Linked DNA regions of Ovis aries. The protein of the gene in region 2 interacts with the protein of the main gene of each other region in a pairwise test. Links are inferred from orthologs where the notes say so. Each region holds a gene or a part of one and is shown on either strand. Other genes may lie near its edges.

Region 1 (3,653 bases), on a different chromosome or scaffold from region 2:
TATAGCCCATCAATTCACTGCAGAGTCAGCCTTTCCTGGAGAGGACCTTACCTCTAGAATAGGCCACAGAAGGCTGACCTGTATTCAAATTGTTGTCTAACGCCTAAAACCCTGTAAAGACAATGAAGTTGCCATTTCACAGACAGAGGTGGGCCACATGCTCACCCTGCCCTGGCATCCTCCCCACTGCAGTATCATTGGGTTTGTGCATTCCTAGAGCATCAGTGGCCTCTCATACTCATATCTGTATCCCTAGAGCTTAGAAAAGTATATGATGTGGAATAGGTGTCCCATAAATGGTTGTTGAATGGTTGAGAGGACTTAAAATCCAAATGCCATGTCAAGGCTGCAGGATGAACTTGGTTTTCCTTGACTTGTAACAGCAGACCCTTTCTGGAAAGGAAGTGGGAAGTGGGGTAGGCAAGACAGGGAGTCCAGCTGAACCCAAGGGAGTCAAAGCCCCCGGCAAAGGAAAAGGACATGTCAGAGAAGCCACAGTGAAGGGGAACTTTGCTGGTTTGCCACTATTGTCTAGGGCTGGGTTTTGGTGAACGAGACAAAGCAATATTTAGAAGTAGTCATCAGAAATTTATTTCTTCTCCCACCCCTGCAAAAGCTTAGGCTTTCACATAGGGAAAATCCATCACTTTGTGACATCACCTCTTCTCACGTCCAACTTGCTAACAGGTAAAGTTGAGTGAAAACTAATATCAAGGGTGGCCTTGAACTTCCACCTTTAGACCCAAGGCTGTAAGAATTATTAGATAGAAGTATGCCAGGGAAGGCTGGCTGTCATACCTAAAGGAAATATTAGACAAAGAGGAAGAGAAGGGTGTGTGGAGAGGGGCCAGAGTCACTTTACAAACCTATGCTAGCATCTTTAAGCCCAGCAACAAGTGGTTTTCCTCCCTTTCCACCCACTTCTTTGGAGCCCAAGTTAATATGCTCCAGTTTGCCACTGGCTTTGATATCTGGGGAACTGAAAATTTTAACTGAAGTAACTAACTTGATTGTTTTGCAGTCCGCTATGAAATTGATAATGACCTCATGGAATTCAATATTTTAAAAAACAGCTTTAAAGCTGACAAGGAGGTAAAGCGGAAAGAGATCAGAAATGGATTTCTCAAGCTGCGCAGCATTCTCCAGGAGAAAGAGAAAACCATCATGGAGCAGATAGAGAATCTGGAGGTGTCCAGGCAAAAGGAAATTGAAAAGTATGTGTACGTCACTACCATGAAGGTGAACGAAATGGATGGCCTGATTGCCTACTCCAAGGAGGCGCTCAAGGAGACAGGCCAAGTGGCATTCCTGCAGTCAGCCAAGATCCTGGTGGACCAGATCGAGGATGGCATCCAGAGCACTTATAGGCCCGACCCACAGCTCCGGCTACACTCCTTGAACTGCATGCCCTTGGACTTTGCTGAGCTCTCCAGTGCCATTCACGAGCTCTTCCCCACAGGACCCAAGAAGGTGTGTTCCTCTGGGGACTCCCTGCCGTCCTCCTACCCCCTGCAGTCAGAAATGATGATCGCCAGGAAGGTCACTTTCAGCACCCACAGCTTCAATAACCAGCAGATATACCAGCGAAGCTCCTCCTTATTGTCCTTCAATGCCCCTGCCTGTGAGAAAACCAAGATAGGTCTGGAAGCCTATGGGCGAGCCCAGTCAGCTGCACCTGCCAAGCCCACAGACGGCCTCTACACCTACTGGAGCACCGGGGTAGAAAACCAGCCTGTGCAGAATAGCAATAGCTTCCACAACTGGTACTCATTCAACGATAGCTCTGTGAAGACTCCAGGCCCAATTGTTATCTACCAGACTCTGGTGTATCCAAGAGCTGCCAAGGTAAGAAAGGCTCTGGGCCCTGTAGGAAAGATGGGAGGGTGTGAGCTATGGCATGGAGGTGGGTAGTCGGGAAAGTTTGCACTTAGTTCATTGACCACTAGGATCTGGTCACTCAGATCTGTTCCTCTGGACTCTGTGTGGTTGGCCCATTCAAAAGGGATAAGTTCCTGAAATCTTAAGAGCCCGAGATTGGCTTAAACCAAACATATATTTAACTCATAGCCAGAAATGCATCTGAAAGCCCCAATTCCACTTCAAAGGCAGCTTCTCTATTGAAAGAGACTGCAATTTTGGAACCAAAGTAATTTGAAGAGACTGCTTGAAGAGAATAATATTTCCCAAAGGAAAGCCTGTAACAGTAGAAAGAGAACAGAAATTGGAATTAGAAAAGCAGCCTCCGTGATCTATCAGCTGTGATTCCTCTAAATTGCTACTTTTTCTAAAGAAAATATCTAGACTCTTCATGATTTGGAAAGATTAGAAGGTAATCCCCAGTGGAATTCCAGTTCTTATCTCCTGAGATTCAGCTTTTAGTGAGGGGAGGGTATGTATCTCTCACAGACCTCTACAACTGCCATCACTCAGCGTCAAGGGATATGACTCTTCCTTGACCTTCTTGGCCTAACATGAACAGAACAAATAGCCCATCTCTTAACATTCCTTTCAAATCTAGCTGATTGAATCTAAATTGAATAGTTTATATAATGTTCTATTAGCATCCAGGAAGGAAAAAAATGTATTCTATGAGAGCATATCTTGCCTCCTCTTGGGACCACTAGAGGGACAATTCCCAAGCCAACCCATGACTTGCTTCCATGTAGCAGAATCCACCTTCTGTCCTCATGATCTGAGCACTCACAAAGACACTTAACGTCCTTGAAGCCTAAACTAGTGGTTCTCAAACCTTAACGTGCACCCGGGAATCTTGTTAAATACAGAGTCTGCTTCAGTGGGTCTCAGCGGGGCCTGAGATTCTGCACTTCTAACAGACTTCCAGATGTTGGCATTGCTGCCAATTAGCAGACCACACTTCAGTATCAAAGGATCTAGAAACAAGAAAATTAAAGGGAGACACTGACCAAGCCTTACCTTTTTATTCTCCTGAAACATCTTAATCTATGTTTTGGCATTTATAATTGACTCCAAGAATGACCTTATGTTGCAAGGTAGAACATACAGAACCTATCCTCCCATGGGCTGTCAGACACAGCAAATGTATCTCTGCCCTTCACATAGCAGGTACCCACAACTAAGCAGCTGAAGCTGCACTTCCAAGTGATGCTAGATCAGCAACACCTGCAATGTACGTGACACTGCATCAGGGACTGCATTAGTTCTCATCTCCATGCAACTCAGACCACTTGAGAGGTTGGCAAGATCTAGCTTCTGAATGGGAGAAGACAATGGCACCCCACTCCAGTACTCTTGCCTGGAAAATCCCATGGATGGAGGAGCCTGGTGGGCTGCAGTCCATGGGGTTACTAGGAGTCGGACATGACTGAGCGACTTCCCTTTCACTTTTCACTTTCATGCATCAGAGAAGGAAATGGCAACCCACTCCAGTGTTCTTGCCTGGAGAATCCCAGGAATGGTGGAGCCTGATGGGCTGCCGTCTATGGGGTCGCACGGAGTCGGACACGACTGAAGCGACTTAGTAGTAGTAGTAGTAGTAGCTCTGGATGGGAACGACTGGTGATGTCTGCTCTATTCTTGGGCTTGAAGAACAGTCTCCCTGGGCCCCCTGGGCTTAACACACCCTTGATGAATTCAAGAAAGGAACGTATATAGGAAAACTCAGTGAAGTCACT
Region 2 (3,653 bases):
TGTGCCTACCATGTCTCAGTGCCCTTAAATTTAAGTGGTACCATTGAATATTTCCAGACATTAGGGTGAAAATGAAAGCGACATGGGTCATTTCCAGGTGAAAACATTTAGAGGTCAATGCCTGAACCTCCAGCTCTTTCTTACCTCTTGCAGTTACCAAGGACACCACATGTCAGGATGCTAGAAGGTCAGACTGGGTCCTGAGTGATTATTTGGAAAGCTGGACTTGCAAAGTTAGTAGGGAGAGTGACCAAACAGTAAACTTTATGCTTATGTCATTCAGATTTGAGGGTTAATGTATTACTGTGACATAAACCCTATCCTGAGCAGTAAACGAAACTAACATGGGGTTTCCAAATTTCTAGTATGTGAAATAAGGAGATTTTAAAAATAAACAAGATGAATGGAGAGAGTAACATGGAAGCATATACACTGACTTATGTAAATAAACAGCCAATGGGAACTTGCTGTAGGACTCAGGGAACACACACTGGGGCTCTGTAACAACCTAGAGAGTGGGACAGGGTGGGAGGTGGAAGGGAGGTTAAAAAGGGAGGGGACATATGTACACCTATGGTTAATATATGTTGATGTATGACAGAAAGCAAACCAATATTGTAAAGCAATCATAAATCAATTAAAAATAAATGAATATAAAAAATAAACAAAAGTCCTCTCCATATGCCATCATTATATAAAAGACATAATACTTTAGAAACAAAAAATATAAGATACAATCACAGAACAAAGGATGATTCCATAAACTGAATAAACCCAGAGGGATGGGATGGGGAGGGAGGTGGGAGAGGGGTTCAGGATGGGGAACACATGTACCCCCGTGGCAGATTTATGTCAATGTGTGGCAAAACCAATACAATATTGTAAAGTAAAATAAATAGATATGACTATTTTATTCTTCAGGGAGCCCTTGGTAGCTCAGACAGTAAAAAGTCTGCCTGCAGTACGGGAGACCTGGGTTTGATCCCTGTGTTGGGAAGATCCTCTGGAGAAGGAAATGGCAACCCACTCCAATATTCTTGCCTGGAGAATCCCAAGGACATGGGATCGCAAAGAGTCAGACACGACTGAGTGACTTCACTTCACTTTATTTTATTCTTCCTTAATTATATCATTATGCTGGGCAAAAGCTTCATCATGAAAGAGAAAATTGATCTTCCCAATGATATTTGAGAATCACAGATCCAGATATCTAGAATTACAGATCATGATAACCACGCCACGGTGTGATCACTCACCTAGAGCCAGACATCCTAGAATGGAAGTGAAGTGGGCCTTAGGAAGCATCACTATGAACAAAGCTAGTCAAGGTGATGGAATTTCAGCTGAGCTATTTCAACTCCTAAAAGATGATGCTCTTAAGGTGCCAGCAAGTTTCGTAACTCAGCAGTGACCACAGGACTGGGAAAGATCAGTGTTCATTCCAATCCCAAAGAGAGGCAATGCCAAAGAATGCTCAAACTACTGCACAATTGCATTCATCTCACATGCTAGGAAACTAATGCTCAAAATTCTCCAAGCTAGGCCTCAACAATATGTGAACCAGGAACTTCCAGATGTTCAAGATGGATTTAGAAAAGGCAGAGGAACCAGAGATCAAATTGCCAACACCCATTAGATCAAATTCTAGAAAAACATTCACTTCTGCTTTATTGACTAAACCAAAGCCTTTGTCTGTGTGGATCACAGCAAACTGGAAAATTCTTCAAGAGATGGGACTACCAGACCCTGTCTCCTGAGAAATCTATATGCAGGTCAAGAAGCAACAGTAAGAATCGGGCATAGAACAACAGACTGGTTCCAAATTGGGAAAGGAGTACGTCAAGACTATATATCATCGCCTTGTTTATTTAACTTCTATGCATCGTAAGAAATTCTGGGCTGTATGAAGCACAAGCTGGAATCAAGATGGCCAGGAGAAATATCAAAACCCCAGATATGCAGATGATACCACGCTTATGGCAGAAAGTGAAAAGGAACTAAAGAACCTCTTGATGAAAGTGAAAGGGGAGAGTGAAAAAGCTGACTTAAAACTCAACATTAAAAAATCAAAGATCATGGTATCCAGTCCCATCCCTTCACGGCAAATGGATGGGGAAACAATGGAAACAGTGAGAGAATTTATCTTCTTGGGCTCCAAAATCACTGCAGATGGTGACTGCAGCCATAGTAAAAGATGCTGGATCCTCGGAAGAAAAGCTATGACCAACCTAGACAGCATATTAAAAAGCAGAGACATTACTTTGCCAACAAAGGTCCGCATAGTCAAAGCTATGGTTTTTCCAGTACTCCTGTATGGATGTTAAGAGTTGGATCGTAAAGAAAGCTGAGCAACGAAGAACTGATGCTTTTGAGCTGTGGTGTTGCAGAAGACCAGAGAAGGCAAAGGTACCCCACTCCAGTACTCTTGCTTGGAAGAGTCAGACACGACTGAACGACTTCACTTTCACTTTTCACTTTCATGCATTGGAGAAGGACATAGCAACCTACTCCAGTGTTCTTGCCTGGAGAATCCCAGGGATGGGGGAGCCTGGTGGGCTGCCGTCTAAGGGGTCGCATAGGGTCAGACATGACTGAAGCGACTTAGCAGCAGCAGCAGCAGCAGTTGGAGAAGACTCTTGAGAGTCTTGGACTGCAAGGAGATCCAACCAGTCAATCCTAAAGGAGATCAGTCCTGAATATTCATTAGAAGGACTGAAGCTGAAGCTGAAATTCCAATACTTTGGCCACCTGATGGAAGAACTGACTCATTTGAAAAGACCCTGAAGTTGGGAAAGACTGAAGGCAGGAGGAGAAGGGGACAGCAGAGGATGGGATGGTTGGATGGCATCACCGACTGGGTGGACATGAGTTTGAGTAAACTCCAGGAGTTGGTGATGGACAGGGAGGCCTTGAGTGCTGCAGTCCATGGGGTCACAAAGAGTCTTAGACTACTGACAGACTGAATTGAACTGATCTAGATATTTTTTAAATGGTGAGAGAAGACTGTTGACCCAAAGCAACTAAAAATATATAATGACAATGTCCAACATTACCTGTCTTTCAGTGAGATCCAGATTCACTGCTATCTCATATCGCCTCAGTCTGGTCAGATAATTATGATGGGCAAATTCTGCTTCAAGTTCTCTGATTTGCTCTTTGGTAAAAGCTGTTCTTTCCTTTCTGGGTTTGCTGTTGACTTCTGACTTGTAATTTCCTTCCTGGGAGTCTGGTGAAAAAAAGTAAAAGAATTAGATTTAGTTCATTCACTCAAACACATTCAATCATTTAATTTAGAACAGAAACATTTACTGAATAACTACTTTTCCAGGTACTCTATTAAACACAGTAAAAATAGAGAGAAACCAAAGACAGTAAGATTTATCTTGACAGGGTGAGATAAATTGCATTTTTTTCCTATGCGCCCTGAGGTGACTCACAGCCTAACTGGGGCTGTGTCTAGTTTTCTTCTTTTGAAATATCAATATACACACAAAAAATTAACTGTTCTTAATATGCTTCCCTGGTGGCACAAATGGTAAAGAATCTGCCTTCAATGCAGAAAACACTGGTTCAGTCCCTAGGTTGGGAAGACCCACTGGAGAAGGGAATGACAACCCACTCCAATACTTGCCTGAGAATTCCAAGGACAGAGG

What was found.
Region 1: the proteins of MEOX2 (region 2) and TRIM42 interact in binary tests that used the Homo sapiens proteins (3 or more experiments, as listed by UniProt). The two-hybrid records come from large-scale screens. The link is inferred for Ovis aries from reciprocal best matches to the Homo sapiens genes MEOX2 and TRIM42.

The regions. Positions count from the first base shown.
Region 1 is NC_056054.1:248,855,593-248,859,245, reverse strand, and holds part of TRIM42 (tripartite motif-containing protein 42), read left to right. Parts: intron 1-1,021; coding exon 1,022-1,845; intron 1,846-3,653.
Region 2 is NC_056057.1:25,002,737-25,006,389, forward strand, and holds part of MEOX2 (homeobox protein MOX-2), read right to left. Parts: intron 3,227-3,653; coding exon 3,054-3,226; intron 1-3,053. UniProt on the Homo sapiens protein: Mesodermal transcription factor that plays a key role in somitogenesis and somitogenesis and limb muscle differentiation. Required during limb development for normal appendicular muscle formation and for the normal regulation of myogenic genes.